Drosophila melanogaster: one gene and its partner. The protein of the gene in region 1 interacts with the protein of each later gene in a biochemical or structural test. Each region holds a gene or a part of one and is shown on either strand. Other genes may lie near its edges.

Region 1 (6,281 bases):
AATATTGACATGAAAATCGGCTTTCGATTTCCACGGGACAAATTGGGCGGCACCAACTGTGTTGCACCACACTGAACCGCACCGCGCCACCAAACCGAGATTAAATGGAAAGTGAAGATGCACATATGTACGTCGCCAATCAAGCCGATGAAGCTCTAAGCCAGTGCTTCCGATCCACAGTCTTAGCAAACTCTTTGCCACACGGTCTGTGTCTGTCGTCTGTGTAATTAGGACAAAATGTCTCATTTTGACCAATGCCGAAAAAGTAAATACAACCGAAACCGAAAGTTTCTGCTTCTTGGGGATTAAGTCTGGGATTATTTTCTTTATTATCGATTTCTCAAATGGAAGAAGAGTGTACATTTATTATGAAGTAGCCGAAAAACTCGATTTTCAATATTAAACAACGCTATAGAAATGAATTTCAATTTGCTAATATATTTCCACGGAAATATCCTTTTTACATTTTTTAAAATGTCTTTTTTTACCATTTTTTAAAATGTTTATTCCCCTAACTTAATTGTTTTTATACACCAATTTTTTAAATATATTGCCAAGCATTAGTTTGTTTCCTTCTGGGGTCTTACATCAACATATTTTATTTCAGCTTATATCCCTTTAGCATATAAGGGTCCTGAAGAATTCATCTTCCTCATTACTTTACCTTCTAACCACGTTATTTATATTGGTCAAATTGAGCACAGTATATGGTTTAAGGAGAAGAGGAAAATGCGAAATAATCGCGGGAAAAGGAATGCCAAATGGCCAAAGACAAAAAGCGGGATGGATTTCGGAATAAATGCCGTTAAGTCATGGCAACCGAATCATAGCAACCGAAACCCTCGGCCATTTCCCACTGCGCTGAGCCAAACTAAATTAAAGCAACTATTATTTATTTAATCACACTTCATTGAGATTGAGCAATCAGCTGGAAGAGATGCTCGGCTCGGAATTCCCGGCTACCTGACACTGCAACACTGCCGCATCAGAAGCATCTTCTGCATTAGAGGAAGTCAGCTACCTCGAGCTGGCGACTAATGTGTGGCAATGAATAGAAAACGTACCGAGGCAGTGCACCGGGGAAAATGGAGTCGGTGGGAAAACACTAGGCCATCCTAGTGGCCATCCATATTACAATCCAAATCACATTAGGCCGCAGCAATTAGGCTTGGATTAGGCTTGGTCTGTATTAAATTAGTTAAATTAAAAAATCGCGTATTCATGAAATAACTAAATAATATATTATATTACCCACTAAGGAATAAAACAAACTACCTTTAAAAACGAAATAAATTCGAACAATATTTATAAAACAGTTAAGTACATTTGATATTTTGAAAAATAAGTTAAATTTCGCGATGACACTGTGAGTAAAGTAAAGAAGATGAAATGGAGGAAAAACAAAAGGCACTACAAACGAATTTCGCTTAATCATCGATAATCTCAGATATTTTCGAATTTTCGGCAAACACATCGGGGATTTCCGCGTTGTCGGACCGCTCGATGATCCTATAACGCTCCGCCGCCGCCAGGCACTGGGTGGCCACCTCTCGGGCCTTGGCACGCGTGTCATCGGGCAGCTGCCCCAAACCGCTCAGCAGTTCCATAATGTCCGTTTCAAACAGCTTTTTGGCGATCTCCTCTCCAGCATTGATCATGTTTAGAATAATCACAATGCCTCGATGCTGGACCGCCGGACTGGGATTGGCGATCAGAGTGTGCAGAATGTCCAGCCAGCTGGCGATGGCCAAGATCTTCTCACAGCACTTGACAGACACTGAAGTAATAATGGCCAGAGCTCCGGCACAAGCTGTTGCGGTCTCCTCGTCCTCATCCTCGCAGAGAAGCGCCAAGAACTTCACTCGGTCGTTATTGCCCTCGAACATTTTAATGACATCCTCACTCATAACCAGATTACACAGACACTGGGCAGCTGCACGAGTCAGGTACAGATGGTCCTCCATCAGATAATACTCTATCTTGGAGACCCCCTGCTCCTTGATAATCCTCTGGCGCACGCTCTCGTTCATGCTGGCTAGATTGGTGAGTGCCATTAGCGACTCAAAATTCTCCAGCGCTGTGCAGTCCTGTTGCAAAAGGTTCAACAAAGGACGGATTACATCAAGCGATCGCTGGCCACTGAAAGATACTTCCGGATTAATGGTTATGCCAATCCTAGCCAACGCCTGGGTAGCATGGCGTTTTCCTTTCTCAGTTCCCTCAAGCGCCATACGAAGCAGCGCCTTAACGCCGCCTTCTTGAACCACTTTTCCTCGCAACTCTTTCAGTCCACAAACCGCATTCAAAACCCTGGCAATCAGCTCCTGTGAATTGTGGCTTTCAGTTTTCGCCAGTGCACAAAGAGCAGTTGTTATGCCCTCATTTGCCAGCACAGTAATACGCTTATTGATGAAATCTACGTCGTCCAGCTCGTGCTCCTCCGGTATGTGTTGCTTAGCAAACTTGGCAAGTTCTATCATCTCAGGCAACATCTCCTGCTTCTCATACGCATTGCACAGATTCACAAAAGTAGTGACCACACCATAGAGACAGGACTGATTTCCTCCGCGGGCCAAATCCATTAAAGCGTGAATGGAAGCCTTATCCTCAATGAGCTTCTCCTTACATTCAGCATCCAGTGTTAAATAAGCCAGACCATCGGCAGCCCAACGACGGATATCCTTATCCTTTCCAGGTTTGATCAAAAACCGACGGCATGCCTCCGCCAGCTTAAGGGCAGCTCCATCGCCAAATGGTCGGATGGCCGCGTCCTGACCGCCGTAGCTACCCAGCTTGCAAAGACCCACCAGGGCGCGTACTCTAATACCATCGTTCTTGGAGTGGTAGAGCCGCTTTAAAATATCTACTCCCTGCTCACAAAGAGCCTTGGCCTTGTCCTTTTTAGAGGAAGCGGCGATTAGGCACTCACATGATACTCGCTGCTGCAACTCATCGTCGGTCGTAGCCATTGCTAGAATCATCTGCAGTATTCCTGTTACAAATTTCACCATTAATTAAGTACCATTTTCTAAATCCAATAACAGAACTCACCTTCTCTGGCCACAACCTGATTGCCCACATCCAATGGACCGTTAAGCAGGGCAGTAATCGCAACGGTGACCCGCACCTTGGATTCCATATCAGGCGCCAAAAGCTTGTCCTTAATGTATTCGTCGATCTGGTCCGTGAACCGTGCCTTAGCTTCATCGTAGTACATGTTCTCATATATCCGGGCCAGACAAACGGATGCAATTGTGGATGATGAGCCTGTGATATCCATTGCACTCTCGTACTTATAATCCTCCAGTTCGGAGCACACATCCAGCAGACGGCACAGTCCCCTGATCTCAACCAGGCGTTCGGCCCATTCTAGAGCTGTGTAGTGGACATTCCTGGTTATAAGCTCAATAACGCCATCCCTAGCTGCTCCAGAAATCGTGCGATCCGTGATACTATAAACTAGGCATGTTAGGAGAGTGTCAATTTCCCGGTTGTTCCTAGTGCACAGCTCCTTCTCCGGCTTCGAATCGGGTTTGTTCTTAAGCCCAGACAATGCGTTCAATATTGTTTGTAGGCAAAACTGGGCGGTGGACACACAGTTCTCGTGTTTTTGGTCGAGAACCCTCATGAACCACGGTACTCCGAGTTCAGTTAAAACGCCCTTTGTACGCTCGACGCTATTTTCGCAAAGAGCAGCCACCAAATGCACCATATTCACATAAATGTCCTGATCCTTTTCCACCTTTGTTAGTGAGGCCACTTTGGCGATGCAGTGGTCCTTGTAAAGCAGTTCAGCGCCAGTCTGCTCTTTGGCCAAAACTACTAGGTTATTGGCTGCCGCGCGACGCTTATCGATGGGCGTGGCCAAATCAAAAGTAAGATCCATCATCTGCTTGACTTTTGTGGATGTCTTGGCATTACGGGCAGAGCGCTCTTCCACGACGACATGAAGCCTCTGGAGCATGGGCTGTACGGTTTTGTTGCCGGGATCCGCTTTAAACAAAGCGGTTGCGTCTTTGTAGGCCTCTTCGAACTTCTCCAGAGCTTCGTACGCCTGAGCCCTACGGAACAGTGCCTTGGGATCCCCCGGAGCCGCTTTCAAAGATTCAGTGCAGTCCTCTACCGCATTTTCATACTTTCCTAGCTTCAGATAAGCGGCAGCACGATTCTTATAGAAAACCGCCAGCTCCTTGTGCTTAGAGCCCGCCTTAATGGCTTTGCCATAGTGCTCCACTGCCTCCTCCCAGCGGGAGGCCTTGAACGCCTCGTTGCCCTTATCTTTGTAGCTTCCTGCGTCGGACACTTCCTCGCTGTTGATGGTGTTTGTCATGGTTACACAATTTTCTGTATAAAAAGACAAAAACTGTAGCTGCAACTTTTTATTGTTAACGGATGACTCACTATTCAGTTCGGTTTTGTGCCTTCTGGCCTAAATTTCGACCACCAGAAACTTCTCGATCGCTCTCGAATACACACAGATACAGTTGCAGGCGTTTAGCGGGAAAATCAAGCACGCTGCGTGAGACTATTGAACCGGCTGCTGCCCTGTTCTATATATAAATAAAAATTGAGAAGACTCAAACCAAAATAGTTGCAACAGTTGCCATTCGCAGCGAATCGGCCAAACAGCTGACTGGAACCGTGGAGCTTACGTTTTGCTTTTTTCATCATAGCCCAAACAGCTGACGAATTTCAACTTTACTAAAGTCTTAAATTTTTAACTAAGCCAGGGATTACAAATATTTTTCTGATATATCTGTAAAAACTTTTTTGAAAATCATTTATTCTGTAAATATTTTCAAAATCTATCTTTTATAAATTAATCAATTACAAGCTCTTTTTCCTCTTTCAGCTAATTTTTTGCTGTACCTGCACCATTGGTTCAGAATACTATCGATCTATCGATAACAACGATGGCGAGGGTGAACAAGTTCAAGTTCAAACAGCTGATTCGATTTGTTTTTAATTTTCATGTGATATAACGAAACCAAAACAAGTGAAGCGGGCGAAAGAACACATCCAAGATGTACCAGCACAGCCCAATGTTGTGGCGACCTCTGCTTCTGCTGCGTGGCCTCTACCTCAGTCAACGCCACCAGATGAGCCACTACGACGCACTGGGAATCAGGCGTCAGTGCACGCAGAACGAGATCAAGGCAGCTTACTATAAGCTCTCGATGCTTTATCATCCGGACAGGAACCAAGGAAGTGAGAACGCAGCCAAGAAATTTCGGGAGATCAATCAGGCTTATGAGATTCTGGGAAATTACCGGCTGCGTCGACTTTACGACAAGGGAATCGTACATACGGCAGGCGCCCAATATGCCCAAGATGTCCACGATGTAGCGGAACCCGTAGTCGAGGACGATGCGGAGACTAAGTTTTACAAGTCGCGATTTCAGAAATCGCGTGTATCTGATTCTGCGGGCCGTACGCCCATCTATGACTTCGACGAGTGGTCGCGAAATCACTATGGTAAATCATTTGACCGGAGACAAGCCGCCCAGGCCAAATACGATCGAATAAAAGTGCAAAGGGAGACCAACAGAATATCAGGCCAGACTGACATGGTCCTGCTGGCCTTTATCTTTGCCGGAGTGGCCGTATACCTGATGTTCCTCGCCGAAAGCTCCTACGACACTCCCAAGCAGAAAGCGAAGGAACGATACAGACGCGATCAAGAAGAGCGAGAACAAAAACTAGTCGGGAAGCAATCTTAGAATTCTCTAGTCTTCAGCGTACATAGACTTAAGTTAAATGAATTAAATTCGAAACAATATAATTTTGTGAATTAAAGATGTGTCCGTTTTACTTAAGATGAATAGCAGCGGGACTTATACATATGTATATAAACATCCAACGGCATTGTAATATCCTTAATCTGACTCAAGATCTAAAACATATAGACAAAGCCGCAATTAGAGATTAGGTCTGTCACTAATTTTAAATGTAACAACTTTATTCAAAATTTGCCGCTGCGCTTGCGTGCAGTGTACTTTGTGTCAGGACGGGTTTCCAACCCCTGGCGACGTCGACGCTCTTTCTTGGCTAGGATCCAATCGCGGGATTTCTTTGGCGCTTTTCCCCGAGCCTCACGGCAAGCATCACGTTTCTTTATATAGTTTACACGACGTTCCTCTTCAGGTGAGCCTACAAAAGCAAAGAAAAATGATGTGAAAGTAATTATTAGTTTTCTATAATTATTATTATTAAAACTAACCCAAAGCCTGCGGCAGCTCAGCAGATCCTCCAGTCATGAGCACCAGGTAGTACTTCTTAGC
Region 2 (4,957 bases), on another chromosome or scaffold:
CGGAGACTAGTTGCAGCTCTAATCGAATTTTGAAAAATTTTGGGATGTTTTTCTTTTTTTCATAAGTGTGAGTGATTGGCGGTAGATAAGCGGTTGGGTAAGAACATAGAACGCATACTTGTGTGCCACCCTTGATCGGCAATTACTTACGTAGATCAGCTTGTTGTAGTATCTCTGTCTCAAGTTATGGAGCACAGAGGCATCGTTAAGGTATGTCAAGTTGGACATATCCTCGGCTTTTTCGTATTTCGGGGGGTTCACTTGCTGGAGCAGATCTTTCTTTAAGTCTCGTGTCTGTTTATCATTTTCGTTCGGTTTGTCGGATTCAGTTCGATTGGTTATGTTTAGTTTTTGTACAACATTTGTTGGTTAGACGTTGGGTTAGCAGTTCGTTTTTGAGATTGAGAGAGAGAGAGAAGAGATACCCATACATTAGTGAGTTTCTGGCAGTACAACACTTACGTAGATGAGCTTAGCATAGTAACGCTGACGCAGATTGTGCAAAACGCAAGGAGTGTTAAGCACGGTCATGTCGGCCATATCTTCAATTTTTTCGAATTTTGGTGGATTGACTTTTTCCACCTTCTCGGATTTGATATCTCGTACCTAATCGTATATGTAGGCGAAATCTATAGTTTCATTCTAATTTTGTGGCTACATTATAAGCTATTGAAGTGTATGAGGTCATGACAAAGTCCCAGTCTTATGCTATCCATTGAAAAACCCTTCTTGTAGTAGTAGTAGTAGTACCAAGAAGATTTTCCCATTGGGTAACAATTGACTAACACTTTAGGTCGACCATAAGACTCTTCAATAGCTTTTTTTTTTTTTTTTTTATGCTGAAGCCTCGTGTAGACGATGACTTTACCTCTCCACCCTGCAGACCAACGGAGACGATATCGCCCTTGGTGGCCTTGATCTCACCAAGGAGATAACCCTCCTTCTCGTCGGGGATCCAGCAAGACTTCTTCGAGTCATAGGGTTTCGATTGATCGATACGCCTTTGCTCCAAAGACACGAACAGGTATGGGGTGGGATCCTCATCCTCCTGATTTGCGACTGGCTTCGGCATCTTGCTTAAATTTCGTTTAGAAACTTAAAAACTCGAAAAATAATATTGGGACTTTTCAAAATTTCTTTGTTAATCGCGTCGTGAGCCCAAAACTTCCCTGTAAATATACAAAAGAAAAATAATATTTATTATATGGTTCTCAGAAAAGCATACTATTTTTGGAATTTTGTTTCGAAGTCTGATTCTTTTATGGATTTTATGCTTTTGACCCATTTTGACAGCAGCAGCAATAGCGGACACTATAACAGTTCTACGCGTGTGTGCGTGGATAGGATTTCGAAATTTAATTTCGATTTCCAAATATGAACATTTTTCCCGTTTCGCGCTTTCGAAATTCCCGTTACCGTAACCGGATATTTATTTATGTGTGGCTTTGATTTTATCTCACACCTCAAAGTTAATTAGGCCTGGTCGGTGCTTGTGTTGTTGTTTTTGTTATAAACAGACAACAAGTGAATTGTGTGGGTTGTCGCCTAAATATAGATCACGGATCCGATACGAATATGTATATGTATACCACTTATATATATATATATCAGAATGCTTTGCATATATACGGATTTTCGGGGCGTTGGTATTTGTTACGTAACGCCAATTTTCATTTAGATATTTGTGTACATTTCTCCAGGTTTCTTTGTGAAAAAATCTACAGACTATTGATACGCCAAAACAATGCTTATTATTACAAATGTAGAGAGGTTAAACTGTCACCACAACTCACTCAACTGGTAACTACTACCGTTTGGAACGCGATTTCGATATTTTGAACAGGTATCTCGATATGGTGGCGTGTTCTCATACAAGCAATTCACGAGATCGCAATGATTCCTTTCAGTAAACTTCGAAGGCGGAACGATTTTCGACAATCCACACTAAATCGACAATCGAAAATTCGATTCGAATTGACGCGAACTTTTAACGAATGCGTTATTTTTAAAATTCTCGAAATTATTTCGAAACTAAAGTCACATACATATTCGTCTATATGTAATTCGTAATTTCGAGAAGCTTTTTGGCTCATGCTACCACATGGCACACATAGACATAATGTATAAGTATTGGCGATCTCTTTCTAATGTCTTTGGTTATTTTTAAAACATATTCGAAATTATTTCGCCCATGTATATGAGCCGACAACGAATTCGAGTATTCTAAATCTATTTTCTATAGTATGCATACGCATATGTCTCGGCCACACAGGTATTTGTGTATGAAATCATTTCGCCAGTAATTCGAAATGGCTATTACAGCATTTCGAACTCACATCGAAACACGAATTTTTCATTTGATGAAGTAACAGCTGGCTGTCTCTTTCTGACATTTAAATGATCTATTTGCTTTAGAATTTTTTAAGTAGTCGAAATTTAGAACGATGAAAGTCTTTTATTCCAAAATTCTTGGGCGAGAAAGGATAAACTAGTTTTTTGTGAGAGTCCTAAAAGTAAGAAAGAAGTTTCCTTATATCCTTGTTACTTCACTTTCAGATTTTTTCGCTGATATGATCGAAAGTCAAAGATTTGTTACACAAGAAGTTGAAGATAGTTGCATACTTCTCAGAAAACAAATTAACGCCTATAGGTTATGTTAAGTAACTGATGTACTTCCTAAGAAAAGATTGTTATTTGTAATCCAATTCGATACGATAATCCGAGGTATTCCGGTTCACTGTTCTGATTGTCACAGAGTTTTAATAGATCCGTTTTCGCTCGGATCGTAGTTAAAGCACCACACACACACTTTTTTAAATTTCTCGATTTTGTTGCATATATAAATATATATAGGTAGTAATAATTATTTTAGTTTTATGCTTTTTGACCAAAAGGTCAAATTGTTGCTGCTGCCGCTGATGCTGCTGCTACCGCTACTGCTGCTGGGTGGTAATATCCAAAAATCAGAGATCGCACATCAAAGGTGTTGCACTTACGCGCTCGAAAGCCGTTCTGAACCGTGCAACCGGTAAACTTGCCTTTTATACGGGGCAACTTGATACCCATGGATCCCGTAAGACCCCGAAAGCTTTTCGATTCGACGATCGGTGTGCGTGGCGCTGTTTCTGTTTCGGTTTTTCTTGCTCCCTTTTTCGGTCTAGCACTTGGCTGCTCTGATTCCTATTCCTCTTCTCTAGCAAGTGGGCATTTCTATGGGGGATTGCGGGATGGTGGATATGGTATATGTGTGAGCATATGATGCAATCAGGATCGTTGCGGAATCGAGAGCGGAAAGCTCCTTCTCCGACGATTGCCATTGCGTAGGCTCTCTCGCAATTCTCCCATTAGTCAAATAGTAAAATTCATTTCAATGACAACTTTTCCGCCGTGAGGCAATTCTTCTCCGCCGGAATCCCTCGCTCTTTCCAAGGGGAGCTTTCTTTTTACTTATTTCACATATCATTTCTAGACGCACACATGTGTGTATGGCATGGCATGGTGGGATCTTTATTTGTTTTTCTCGGTGATCATTTTTCGCTTTTTGTTCTGGTTTTGGTTTTTGGTCACCTCAATGCCAATCCGATCTGGCACCAATGTGGGTGGAATACAGGGGGAATGCTTGCGATCAGGCGGCGCTATGTGGTTTTCCTCCTAATCTGCGATCACTTTACGATCAGTGGCTAAACAGCTGTTCGAGAAGACCGATCGTATGCTATCAATGGCTACAAACATTCGTTTGGTCATCGTTCAGTTGTAGAACGAAAAAACCCGATCCTTTGAGTTAATGATTGATGATCTATCTAGCCTAAGGATCGGCCATAGCAAGCACATGTCCGCCAAAAGTAATGATGTGAACTTCAAAATAACATAGATGGGCTAGAACATGCAAGCAATTGCAATGCACGCAAAAAAAACGAAATAAAACACATAGTTGAAGAGATACTTTAGATATAGATAGATAGACAGAGAAATGCCACATCAAATCAATGTAGTCGGCGTCCTTCAGAGCAATGCGATGCGAAAATCTTTAGGTTTCAATGCTAAAATCCAATACAAATACGATTGCAAATACGAGTGCATTATGAAATTCGTGTTGTAGCGATTTGTCGAGAATTTATCAAATCTATAATGCTGACAAAGAGAATTATGATAAATGCCAACAGAATTGAAATAGTCTCCCCTCTTACAACGATGTCAAATTCCGACACAGAAATTATTCATAATTTTAAGCAAAATTACAAAATTTCATGTGCAACATTTTTGGCAAAGAATTATATGATAAATGTATATACACCCACTGCAAGGTATTTTCGACAAATACTTTTCGTAATGAGTTGGTCCGTCTTGAATATTCAATATTTAACAATGATTATTGTGTAGCGGAAAAAGAATACGCAAAAAAACAACTCATGAATTCGGACAAAAACAACTTTCAAACATTTTTTGAGGAATATTTATAGTTTGAAAAAGATTTCAGTTCTCATTCAAGTGTGAGTGTTTTTTTCCTTTATTTTCGGTGCAGGGTTTGCTGCTCTCTAGTCTTTTCTCACATATAAAATTATAATACTTTTTGCTAAGTTTCTGAAACAAAATCTGTGACATTGTCGAGCAGAATTGTGGGCAAAAAGACAAAAACATAAATTGAGCATTTAAAACAAATTCCAAGAACAACAAACAACAATTTAGCACCTGACAATAAATTATTTTGGGGTTATTTGTTGTACTTGTAAAGCCAATGAGTTGGTATAAGTTAATATTTAACATTTAATAATTAATAAAAAAAACCTTTAGTTACGATACATTTTGGTCTTCTTTATTATTCTAGATGGTTCTTCCCTTGCTCCCTTAAGATATTCGATGCGAAAAAAGCGAATCCAATATTCTGCTCCCAATTTTTTGTTCGAAAAGCACAAAAACATTTTCGTTTTGAGTCATTGACGCAAAGCAATTTTTGCAT

Evidence for each region.
Region 2: the proteins of unc-45 (region 1) and Mhc form a complex in vitro, tested with the Drosophila melanogaster proteins (one study listed by BioGRID).

Annotation. Positions count from the first base shown.
Region 1 is NT_033777.3:8,031,651-8,037,931, reverse strand, and holds unc-45 (uncoordinated 45), read right to left. Parts: upstream 4,632-6,281; 5' UTR 4,402-4,631; intron 4,345-4,401; 5' UTR 4,331-4,344; coding exon 3,052-4,330; intron 2,993-3,051; coding exon 1,428-2,992; 3' UTR 529-1,427; downstream 1-528. Other genes in the region: CG11035 (uncharacterized protein), read left to right, coding at 5,025-5,720; CG10903 (uncharacterized protein), read right to left, coding at 5,963-6,150, 6,221-6,281.
Region 2 is NT_033779.5:16,764,796-16,769,752, reverse strand, and holds the start of Mhc (myosin heavy chain), read right to left. Parts: upstream 3,020-4,957; 5' UTR 2,997-3,019; intron 2,828-2,996; exon of another isoform or gene 2,643-2,827; intron 1,977-2,642; exon of another isoform or gene 1,794-1,976; intron 1,170-1,793; 5' UTR 1,073-1,169; coding exon 869-1,072; intron 607-868; coding exon of another isoform or gene 463-606; intron 295-462; coding exon 151-294; intron 1-150. UniProt on the Drosophila melanogaster protein: Muscle contraction.